Saccharomyces cerevisiae S288C: one gene and its partners. The protein of the gene in region 1 binds, or shares a complex with, the protein of each later gene. Each region holds a gene or a part of one and is shown on either strand. Other genes may lie near its edges.

Region 1 (2,797 bases):
CTATTTTGGACCTGATTCTAACACCTCGGAATTCATCATCACCACTAAAGCCGATGGAAATGAGGAATTGGATGGCAAAAGTGTCGTGTTTGGTCAAATAACTTCTGGTCTAGATCAACTAATGGATGCTATTCAATACACAGAAACAGACGAATATGGAAAGCCTCAGCATGAATTACGGTTCCTGTATTTCGTTCTAGAAATCTTAAAAATTAGTAACATCTTAGATTTGCACGCTGCGTACACAGAAAAAGTCGAGAAGTTTAGAAATGGCGATGTGTCTGTTGGCTCCACTTTGGAAAACATCTTCCGTAACGATAAAGCCTACACACCTTTAACCACCTCCACTGGAACCACCGCCTATGATTTAAACCACCCAATTTCCAGAGCCTTGATGTGTTTAACTGTTCTTGGCCTTTGTTTCATTGCCTACAAGGGCATGCACGAAAAGCCTCATACGGTTTCATTAAGACACAAGTAAGCAACTTCTTTTCGATGGCTTGATGACCACATGGCTATGATTTTAATTAATATATATACATGACAATTATTTTTTTATACATTAGCGATACCTAAAATTTCTTGGTTAATACCCTTTTGACAGCCTCTACTGCATTGCCCTTGATAATAATTTTTTTCGATTGCATCACCACAGACCATGATTTTTTGGGTATGAAAGGCAGTTGCTCCTGCAAGTCATTTCTTAGTTGAATTACATCTCCTTCAATCTTTCTGATCTCCGTGATAATCTTGTTACCTCCATTTTTATAAGCGGAATACACCGGTAGATTTCCGGTCCTGCTTCTCTCCACGTAGTAGGTCTTTTTACCAAAATTGTTGTTTCCTATGAGCTCATGCATCTTCACGTCTTCCAGCTTTGGAAATATTGGCGCCTCAGCAGCTTTATTTGAATTAGTGGATATACATCTTATCGTTTGGTATATCGAGGCAGTGGCAGGCCCTGGAAGGCATTTACCCCTACCAAAACATCTAGTAACACACGAACTGATCATAGTTTTGCTCACACGCTACCTTGGAGTAAGTTGCTTTAGGTAAACGGGCACTTCTTTCAAAAGGTTTTCCTTCTTGCTGGAGCTATACTGCTTATAGTACCATATTTTAAATTCATACCAAGCCATTCGTACGCGATGACCATTATAGATCGACCTTGCGACACCATCATATTTAATATTCAAAAAGAAAAAAATGCAGTTCTATATCACAGTTATATAATATTTATATGTGCATGTATGTTACTTGTCTTTGCACATAACTCAATGCGTCCACAATCTTACCATCTTGTCTTTCCCACCACTACACACTCTTTTACCGTCGACACTCCAGTCGACGGTATAAACTTCGTCTTTATGACCAGGGAGGTCAACAGAAAGTTTTCTAGTTCTTACATCCCACACTTTCAACGTGGTATCTTTGGAACATGACACCAGTAGTCGGCAGTCCGATGACCACGCAACCTGGTATACGCTGGCTACATGCCCTCTAAATGTGGAGATAAACTTACCATCTCTACCGTCCCAAAGTTTGATAGAGTTATCAAAAGACGCTGAGACAATATACCTACCATCAGGGCTGAACGCCACATGATTGACTAATTTTTGGTGACCGGTCATTCTTGCTATAGGCTTGGTAGATTTTAGTGGGTTCCATAAAAACATGGTATAATCATCGCTTGCAGTAACCATCATTTCTTCTGAATTTCCATTCTTTTTACAGATTTTTTCATAATTTTCCAATGCCTTTTTCTGGGCTTCTTCTGGTGTAGAAGGCTTCTTACCTGTATGATCGAATGCACCAATGCGCAATGCGTAATCTGTAGATAAAGATAAGTGATTAACCCAGTGCGCATGCGACTTCAAAATGTTGATACATCTGCCCTGCGAATTGATGTCCCATACACGTACGGTTCTATCGTGAGAGCCACTATACAATAGACCTTGGCCGCCCCATTTGACACAAGACACTGAATTTGTGTGACCACTCATCGTATACTGGCAAACTCTGCTCACAGTGTCCCAAATCTTAATAGTACCATCCTTAGAAGATGAAGCTAATCTTGGTTTGGAGCCCGGCTTCACAAGATGTATAGGTTCCCAACTTAAAGAAGTGATCCACTTGGAATGACCTCTGAGAGCATCACCTAGACACTGACCGCTTTTTGGGTCCCATAATCTTATGGTATTGTCCATGGATCCCGTAGCAATTACTTCTCCATCGGGGGACCAGGAAACGCAGAGAACCCAATTGTAGTGACCCTTTAGAGTATGCATTGGCGTTTGGGTGTCACAGTCCCAAATCCTTGCAGTATTATCACCTGCACCGGTTACCATCCTAGAACTCGTATGTGGTGCGAAGGCAGAACACAAAATTGTGGAACCGTGACCTGCAATGGCTGATGAACTTCTAGTTACCGGCTTGACTTTGAAAACTGCTCTTGGCGTATACAGTAGCGTGATCTGATCTTCTGTACTGTTATAGCCTGGTTTTATTAATGAAGAATATAGGTTATCTGTTATATCAATCGTCTTCACAGGGTCACTGGCCTTCTTACCTTGAATTGTACAGCTGAAGGTATATGGCACTGGATCGTCTGAAGTACCGTTCAATTGATTTAAAAGTTCTTCTAACTGTTTCTCGGAGATAGCACCGGGAACTCTCAGGGCGCCACCTACATTGTCACCAGTATCTAAAGCTTGGAACTTGATTGAAACATTGGGTAAATCTTTCGGAATAATAGCTACTTCTCTGGGAAGTTGAGCCTCTTTCTTTTGTTTCTTAG
Region 2 (2,743 bases), on another chromosome or scaffold:
TGCGTTAAATCCGGTCGATCATCCGGAAATGTTTTATTCACCGACAAACGATGCCTATTATGCTCCACAGCAGCAAGGCCAATATATGAAGTTTAACGAAAATGGGGCGGTTCCTTCACCTTATCAACTTAGACAAAGTGTGGTAATGACCAATCCTTCGGATTTGACGGCAAAACCATCTTATAAGCCAGCAGGTTCTTTCAGAAGTGTAAGCGCAACCAATTCAAGAAATAACAGTCTGACCACACAAAATAATATCTATCTGCAACAGCAGCAGCAGCAACTGTATAATTCTCGTGTTAGTGGGATATTAGAAGAGACAGATGTTGTACAGCCACCAAGTGTTGGTGGAATTTTGCCACATAGTGGTTCACAGGACGATTTAAGAAAACAATTAGGCTCTTCACATAATTATACCGTCAACTGAAGTGTAGATAATGAACGGACAATTATCGGATATATAAATTGATGTTTTATTGGAGAAATTTTACAAATTGCGTATTTATACAAATTAATTTATGTTAAATAGGATTTTTTCGAAGTGTATTTTTAAGTTTTAAGGCATATTTAACAAATGACGCCGATGAGAAATTGTTTTGCGGTTTTTCTTATTTTTGCATACGACGAAGAAGTTCCTTTGTGTATATAACAATTTTTCATGCTTCCAGCTTTTAAGAAAGCTCAGGCGCCTCACATCATTTGTATTTGCTGCCTCGTTGCCTATTCGTAATAATTTCACAATGTAGGAAGATGATAAATCGAGTATTGATACAGAAAACGTAAGTTTGTAGTCAATTTATGAAAAATCAAAATCGTCGATTTGGTTTCTGTATCTCAACAAGGTTTTCTTGATCTTAGAGTTGTCCACCCAAGTAACGTAGTCCTCCATATTTCTCGTTACGAGGTAGGCTGGATCGTTGATCAAATTTGGACCCACGCGAACATGCCCTTGTTCAATGAACTTGACTGCATCTTGTATAGTTTCCGCCATTTTTAATCTATGCATTATTACAGGTAATCGCCTCCTACAGATGGCACTAACAGTAACTTTATTTTCCAGATCAGAAATCTTTGATTTAGTTGTCAGGACACCCATAGCGTATAGCTTGTCCAGTAATAATTGCTCATGTTTGCGACGAAATGGATCAGTGGGAGGTAATAATGATAATTTATTGGCAAGACGACGAATATCACCGCATATCCTATTGTATTTATGATAATCTTCACGATTCTGAATATGATATGTTCTCATGACCTGAGTGTCCCGGTGGCCTTGGTCCTGCTTCCATTCAAGGAAGTCTACTTTTTTCAATAACTTTTGCTCATGATGCTTTAGTTTTCTAACCATTATTGGTTGTGATTATGCCTGGTGGTTTATCTATTTAGAACGTTCTATATTACTTATCCCATTGAATTTTTGTTGCGATGAGCTTATATCAGTGAAATTTTTTTCACTGGAAGTAGAGGGTAATGAAAGGCGAGCGGAAATAGCGAGGAGACGCTACGGTTATAGAGGAAGAATATCAAATACTAGTAAGTAAGGGAAGATCACGCAATAAAGCTATCGCAAATCTTACTATAGGAATTGAGGCCAACCTATGTCATTTATTCAGAGGAGGTTATTGTCGCAAACACTTTTTCTGCGCTCTCAAGTGGGGTCTTTACCACTTTATATATCTCCTGAAGTTCAGGTTTCCATAAATGCATTATCCATGCCCAGGATTATCAGAAAAGGTAGAACTTCAATGAATATATCACAGAATATCACAGTAAAGGGACCCAAGGGTGAATTGTCCGTGGAGGTCCCTGATTTTTTGCACTTGGACAAGGATGAAAAGCACGGTAAAATAAATGTTACAGTTCAGAATTCAGAAGATAAACATCAACGTTCGATGTGGGGTACAGTAAGATCACTTATAAATAATCACATTATAGGTGTTACTGAGGGGCATCTTGCTGTCCTTAGATTTGTAGGGACAGGTTATAGAGCTCAATTAGAAAATGATGGTAAATTTGTCAACGTTAAGGTGGGTGCATCTATCAAACAAGGATTGGACGTTCCTGAAGGTATTGTTGTCAAAACACCTGCTCCCACGTCTCTGATTATTGAAGGGTGCAATAAGCAGCAGGTCCTTCTTTTTGCTGCCAAATTGAGAAAATTCCATCCACCAGAGCCGTATAAAGGCAAAGGAATATACGTTAACGATGAAACAATAAAGCTAAAGGACAAGAAAATCAAATAACTTCAGGATTTCAGTTATTTTCGTACTCATTTTCGTAATTTTTTTTATGACATGTATCTTTTCTTATACTTTATAGGGAATACCTTGTAAATATCCTATGAAAATAACTTAAATGAAATTTATATTGGTTATTAATGCGGTGACGTGTTCTTGCTTGGTAAACATTTTGGTGTTCAATGAAACTCTTGGCTTGCAACCTTTAATATATACTAGTTTCACGGAATATGAACGCAATAAGTAAGGCCACAGAAGTTCGAACCTTACCTTTCATTTTATACAGTTTCGAAAAGGGAACACCATTTAGACTAGAAACCAAATATCCTCTTTAACGTTCTGCTAATGCTATATATTTTTTGATTCCAACGCTAATAAAGATTTTTTTTCTTGAGTACTTTTCATGTTTTGTTGTAGAGAGCCCATTTAAAACAAAGATGTTTACCAGAAAACAAAAGAAAAGATCAAATAAGTGAGTAAATGAAATGCTGTACCTTCCAATTTCT
Region 3 (3,428 bases), on another chromosome or scaffold:
AACGTTATCGTCATCAGCTACATCGCTGTCATCATCATGGTCGTCGTTATCATCACCATCTTCGTTACTGGTATCGTCCTCGTTGTCATTATCACTATCTTCATCATATTCAGACACTAAATTGTTTTCGTTCGACAGCAGATCTTCTATTTTCTCACCATCAACACCCACCGTAATATCCCCTAGTTACACATACTTGTCTTCCATATCTGCAACTTCATTTCAAATTAGTACCACTTCAGAACTCTCTTCTAGTTGGTTCTCAACAATTTCTTCTCCTTCTACGATATCAAATAAAGATACCACATTCCCAAGTTCCAGTCGGAATACTTCCACATCGTTTTACAGTTCATCGCTTTCATCGACGAACGATTTTTCAACCATAAGCAAATCATCGAAACTCAGTCCATCAGCTTCATCTTCGACAGTTTCCATAAGCACGATTTCCGTGCCAACGTCAAGTTCTGTTAGCTCATCCAGCAGTAAAGTACCTTCAAACCGTCCTTCATCATCATCATCATCAGATGATACAACAAGTGCTTACTCAAGCACGTATACTTTTCAGTCCTTACAATCTACTACTAGCAGCAGTATACCACCCACCACTCAAACACCCAGCACTAGTACGATTTCTACGTCTCCCATACCAACATCCAGTCAGGTCTTCAATACGGTAGCCATTTCAAGCTCCGAAGATTCAAAAACTATTTATTATTTCTATACCCAAACATATGATATTACTGACTCCTCTACAACGTTCGTGACGGGATTACCTACGACCATAGCAGTTGCAAAAAGTGAGGTAACCTCATTTTCCGCTCCATCTTCGACGATCACAGCTGACATGTCTTTCTATCAGCACTGGCTTGATGGCAGTTTGGATAATAACAAAAACCAAGGCACTTCAAAGACAAATACTGGTACCATTGTTGGAAGTGTGGTAGGAAGCGTCGGTGGTATTCTTATATGTGTACTAGTAGTTTGGTTCATGCTGGTTAGAAAAAGGAAGGCAAAGAGGCATTTCAAGGAAAACGATTCCTTCTGTCACGAGATTGGGCGCAGAACGGGATTCCCAACAACTGCCCAAGCAAAAGAGGCGTCACTTCAAGCTCAAGACTCGGGATCACAGCAACGAAACACCGAGACTGCTTCTGCTAATAATCCGTTCAGCAACGAATTCAATTTTAAGGCAAGAGGAAATCCTCCTCCAGTGCCACCACCAAGGAATGTTACCGCAATGAATGGCTCCTTTCAAAATATGCGGAGTAATTTCATGGACCAGGAAAACAGATTTTCCTATGGCTCTTCATTTACATATTCGTCATTGGGTTCATCTACTCAAGGTGGCTTTTCTACTTTATCTTCAAATTCGATACGACTCGGACGTGGTTTAGATAATGACATCTCTCATGATGAGAGAAATACAGTTCAGAACAATTCACAAGGGTTCTTGAGGGAAATTATATGACGATGACTTCAGTCTATTAGTATGATGTTTACTAATTAAGCAAAATCAGCTCTTGCTGAATAACACTACTATTAAAAATCATAAAAACATCTTTATTGCCAATAGTGAAGAACGACAAGGCCTTTTAAAAGGCATAAAAAACAATGATACCATTCTGCAATGAAAAAAAAAGAAAACTTTGTTCTTTGTGTATAAAGAAAATATTTTAGTTCTCCTAAATAAATAAATACTAAATTATACGAAACTCTTTCAGTCTTTTCTCCTGCTTGCTGCTTGAACAGTACTCATGATATTCTATTAATCTTCTGTGGGCGGGGTAACTAAGCCTTCACTGTACTCGGGATTTTGAATAAAAGTCAACTATCCAATCTGGAAGGCATTTTAACATACGCCATTAGGAGCCGCATAGCAAGTCAGAGAACCTCACCTCACCCTATCTTTTTTATTAAAGAAAATGAACTTCCACACGGCAAGAATATCTCAGGTCGGTGTCATTTCTAGGGCTCTACTTTCTTCTGTAAGTAGACGTTGGATTCATGTAACGCCAATAAGTCTTAATAATTCAGGAGGATCACTATTCGGAAGCATTACAGAAAATAAACCAAAGGAAGGAAAAAACAGGGGGGATGAAGATGCAGGCAGCTTCTCTAATAGGTTAGCGATTGCTTCTGATTCTTCTGGAGAGGCTCCTGAAGTTAATAGGGATTCAATAACCATAGAAAACGATAAACTACTACAGCAACATATCATATCGTTGCAGCAACCGGAACAATTAGCATCACAGAGCTTATTATCTCCTTTGAAAAGGGAAATATATGAAGCTAATTGTAAAATTAATGGTGGGTTTTACAAGAAAGATACTATTGTAAAGTTACCAAATTCTAGCGAACGTTACAAGCTAAAGTTAACAAAAAGAGAAATTGAAGTACTAGAACCTTCCGTATATGCTCAGTCATATAGAATTAAATCGTCGATGAAAAAGGCTACACTTTTGTTGAGGTTATTGGGAGGCCTCGACGTTATGAAAGCTATATCTCAGTGTCACTTTTCTAATAAGAAAATTGCTCGCGAAGTAGCAGAACTACTTCAAAAAGGTGTAAAAGATGGCCAAAAATTAGGTTTGAAACCAGAGGACTTATATATCTCTCAGATTTGGACAGGGAGTGACGGGTTTTGGAGAAAACGTGTTGAATTCAAGGCAAGGACAAGAATCGGAATCATAAGTCATCCTTACATACATGTCAGATGTATTCTGAGAACAAAGAGTGTTACGAAACGAAGACTTGCTTATGAAGCACATTTAAAAGAGCAAAAAAGAGCGCCATGGGTACAGTTGGGAGATAAGCCCATTAGGGGTGTTACAGGCGGCGTATACAAGTGGTGAAAACGATAGCGAACTCATTCATATCCGAGAAATCGTCCTGTAAGCTGAGAAAGATGAACTGCTACTCACTTCTTAACCTATATTCACAGTTGTGTTGTACAAAACTTTTCTTTTGATTATATAATATTGTGATTCTGTAAATAACAACTAGTTTCAACGCACTGCTTCAACGTGCACCCTCCTGACTAAACACGGCAATATGCAAGAAACCGCAACAATTAAGTGCACTAGAATAGAAGAAATTATTGTACTTATAGTTTATTTATGTATTTAATAATTAAATCTAAGCTTCAACTGGTTCAGCTTGAGCTTCAGTTTCTTCAGCTGGTCTGTAGTCCTTGACAGATGGAGCAAGAATTGGTTCTTCTTCTTTTGGTTCAATGATGGTGACAGCATCTGGCAAAGCCTTTGGACCAGTTCTGCTCTTAGCTGGGTCTCTCATAATCTTAACCTTGATACCCAAAACACCTTGTCTCATCAAGACGTGTCTAGTAGCAGTGTCAATGAAGTCGTTGACTGGTTGACCAGAGTGAATCAAGAAACCGTCAGCAAATTTCATAGCCTTAGCTCTGGCAG
Region 4 (2,965 bases), on another chromosome or scaffold:
TGGTTCAATGATTTTTTGATGAACTCTTTCGAACATCTTAAGAACGAAACTCTGTTCAAGACATGCTGGCCAAAAAAAGTCACAGCAGTGGACATTCTCTCAACTAACCGTAGCGTAATCAAAAAAAAATCAGGAGCAAAAAGGTACAATCTTTATCTTCTCTTTCGTTTCGCTCCTGCTCTTGTTCTTTATTCTTATGGTTGGTGGGCTTTATATTTCGAAGAAAAGCAACCGCTTTTGTAAGTTGGAAAAGTAGATTTATGAAGTGATAGATTAGCCCGTCTGAAATACTTATAACACGAAAACGAATGCCATAATGAAGTTGAAGATACTATAGAAAATAATAAGGAAATCAATCATTTTTATACATCTACTTGCAAGAAGCGATGTGGCAAAATATATAAAAGGCAGGACGAAAGAAGAATAAAGAGTTAAACATATTTACATGATATATTCCTTATTTTCTCGAAGAGAAAACAGACTATTTTGATTAACACGATTGGTAGATTGCTACAGTTTTAAAATCATTCTAAACTGACCTTAGCTCCTAAGTCTTCCAAGGTTTTCTTAATCTTTTCAGCATCATCCTTGGCGACATTTTCTTTCAAGACCTTTGGTGCAGCTTCAACGAATTTCTTAGCTTCAACTAATGAAAGCCCCAATAATCCCTTGACTTCCTTGATGACTTTAGCCTTAGTCTTCGTGTCGAACGAGTCCAACTTCACCGTAAACACGGTCTTTGCCTCAGGCTTAGCTTCTTCTTCAGCACCACTACCAGCTTCACCAGTGGAGCTAGGTACATTACCAGCACCTGCGCCTGCAGCGCCTGCCATGAATCCGCCCATAGGCATGGAAATTTCTGGAATGTTCAATACGGTTTTCAGCTCGTTGATTAAACTGGAAGTTTCCAAAAGAGTCAATTGTGAAATGTCCTGTACAATTTTAGAAATTTTAGGATCAACTGGCCTTACATCATCCTTATGTGATGGTGCTGTTGTAGTCGTAGAATTGAAACGGGTTGTGATAGTAATAGGAGAAATTAGCGCTGGTGTAACGCGCGTTTTCATCCAGATAGAAGAAGATCTCTTCGCTAGTATACGTAAGGACATACTGGGCGCTTATTTAATTGACTGTGTTTGCTGCTGACGGGCTGCTTGTCCTGTTCCTTCCAGAACTTACCGAGTTCTTGTTTGCCATTAGTTTGAGTTGTTTTATTGGACTTCAAGACATAGGGCGGGTAAGTTGAAAAATTTTGTTTTGGTGAATAGCGTTAAAGAGTAAGTCAAATGGAACAAGAGCAGATTCTAGGTAGAACGAAAGTTACAAAATCTAGCCAAAAGAGCAAGTTAAACTCCCCTTAAAACTGCTATGACTACGTTTAGATTTTGTCGTGACTGCAACAATATGTTGTACCCTCGTGAGGATAAAGAAAATAACCGGTTGTTATTTGAATGCAGAACATGCTCGTATGTAGAAGAAGCGGGCAGTCCATTGGTCTACAGGCATGAATTGATTACCAACATTGGTGAAACTGCGGGAGTGGTGCAAGATATTGGTTCCGATCCCACTCTTCCGAGATCTGATAGAGAATGTCCCAAATGTCACTCTCGGGAAAATGTGTTTTTTCAATCACAACAAAGAAGAAAGGATACTTCGATGGTTTTATTCTTTGTGTGCTTATCTTGCTCACACATATTTACTTCAGATCAAAAAAACAAAAGGACGCAGTTTTCATGAGTGCTCAACGAACTTTCAAAATTAATGACAGAGGGAGAGAAAATGGGACTTATCTTCACGTATGTCTTGTATGTATGAGAAAAGCACTACTATTTACACCAGCCTAATCTACCGGCAAAAGGATGATGTGAAATAACAGGGGGAAGGAACATGAAAAAATCCTGATCTTAGCACCGATATATGTAATATAATAAGAACGATTTTTTATCTGTAACAAAAGTAGAAAAAAGAATGTATACTATTGTTTTCTTTTTCTTCTTTAAAAAGTCAAAATTGTATAGATGCGTATATGTTCAGTATATAATTAATGAAGAAAGATGAAAATGTAATGAAAATGGACGAGAGATACGTCTAAGTTTGATTTCATCTATATGCTAATCTTCTGGCTTCACATACTTCAACTCGCCGTTCACCATTTTAATGTCTTTGAACTCTTCCAATAATGTGTTTCCCATTATTTCTAGCGATTCATGCGTTTGCATATCCTTTTGTACTGTTTGGTGCTGTTCGTGGTTATGGCCGTCGTGGGGCTGATTTTGGTGATATTGCAATTGCTGCGGTGGCTGCTGTTGCGGACCATATTGATGTGATCGTACTTGAGGTTCATTAGAGCTGAGATGACGATGGTCAACATGTTGAAAATCTATAGGATGTTGAGAACCGTGTGGGCCATTTTGTACAAATTTCAATTCGTCGAAGATTTTTGTTGAAGAGCTGCCAACTAAAGCTTCTTGTCTTAAAAGTGAGTTGCCCAGATCAGAAACGTTATGCTGAGTATTTAGCGAATGTGAATTGTTGTTTGGAACGCCGATGTTATTGTGGTTAGCAGCATCGGAGTGCGTCAAATATTGTAGAATATACTCATTATGTTCTTGGGAACTATTAGCAAATCTATCAATAATATCCTGGTTTTCCTGATGTGTTTCATTTGGGTCATGATGGACTGGGGGAGCACTACTAAGAATTTGGCTGAAATCTGCCTCTGAGTTCAAATATGGAGAATGAACAAAATCATCTGACTCTCCTTCAAATTCATTATTCGTGTTTGTAGTTAATGGAGAGAAGAGTATAGAGGAACAATCGTCCAATTGGTCGAAGACTTGTCTTGGATGGGTAGACCCGCTATGTGGATGCGGCGATTTGGTAAAAATGTTCGTAAAGTCAATTTCGTTCAAATTTGTTACAGTGTTTAGCTTGAAATCGGATGCCGGCAGTGGCAAGATTTCAT

What was found.
Region 2: IMG2 (region 1) and MRPL6 share a complex: the UniProt entries of both Saccharomyces cerevisiae proteins name them as parts of the mitochondrial large ribosomal subunit.
Region 3: IMG2 (region 1) and MRPL22 share a complex: the UniProt entries of both Saccharomyces cerevisiae proteins name them as parts of the mitochondrial large ribosomal subunit.
Region 4: IMG2 (region 1) and MNP1 share a complex: the UniProt entries of both Saccharomyces cerevisiae proteins name them as parts of the mitochondrial large ribosomal subunit.

The regions. Positions count from the first base shown.
Region 1 is NC_001135.5:239,531-242,327, forward strand, and holds IMG2 (mitochondrial 54S ribosomal protein mL49 IMG2), read right to left. Parts: upstream 1,014-2,797; coding exon 573-1,013; downstream 1-572. Other genes in the region: peptidylprolyl isomerase family protein CPR4, read left to right, coding at 1-481; RSA4 (Rsa4p), read right to left, coding at 1,275-2,797. UniProt on the Saccharomyces cerevisiae protein: Component of the mitochondrial ribosome (mitoribosome), a dedicated translation machinery responsible for the synthesis of mitochondrial genome-encoded proteins, including at least some of the essential transmembrane subunits of the mitochondrial respiratory chain.
Region 2 is NC_001140.6:392,139-394,881, reverse strand, and holds MRPL6 (mitochondrial 54S ribosomal protein uL6m MRPL6), read left to right. Parts: upstream 1-1,598; coding exon 1,599-2,243; downstream 2,244-2,743. Other genes in the region: SKG6 (Skg6p), read left to right, coding at 1-427; snoRNA-binding rRNA-processing protein IMP3, read right to left, coding at 797-1,348. UniProt on the Saccharomyces cerevisiae protein: Component of the mitochondrial ribosome (mitoribosome), a dedicated translation machinery responsible for the synthesis of mitochondrial genome-encoded proteins, including at least some of the essential transmembrane subunits of the mitochondrial respiratory chain.
Region 3 is NC_001146.8:303,110-306,537, reverse strand, and holds MRPL22 (mitochondrial 54S ribosomal protein uL22m MRPL22), read left to right. Parts: upstream 1-1,922; coding exon 1,923-2,852; downstream 2,853-3,428. Other genes in the region: TDA7 (Tda7p), read left to right, coding at 1-1,468; 40S ribosomal protein uS3 RPS3, read right to left, coding at 3,136-3,428. UniProt on the Saccharomyces cerevisiae protein: Component of the mitochondrial ribosome (mitoribosome), a dedicated translation machinery responsible for the synthesis of mitochondrial genome-encoded proteins, including at least some of the essential transmembrane subunits of the mitochondrial respiratory chain.
Region 4 is NC_001139.9:373,231-376,195, reverse strand, and holds MNP1 (mitochondrial 54S ribosomal protein bL12m MNP1), read right to left. Parts: upstream 1,110-2,965; coding exon 525-1,109; downstream 1-524. Other genes in the region: NPY1 (NAD(+) diphosphatase), read right to left, coding at 1-95; DNA-directed RNA polymerase II core subunit RPB9, read left to right, coding at 1,369-1,737; DNA-binding transcription factor AFT1, read right to left, coding at 2,112-2,965. UniProt on the Saccharomyces cerevisiae protein: Component of the mitochondrial ribosome (mitoribosome), a dedicated translation machinery responsible for the synthesis of mitochondrial genome-encoded proteins, including at least some of the essential transmembrane subunits of the mitochondrial respiratory chain.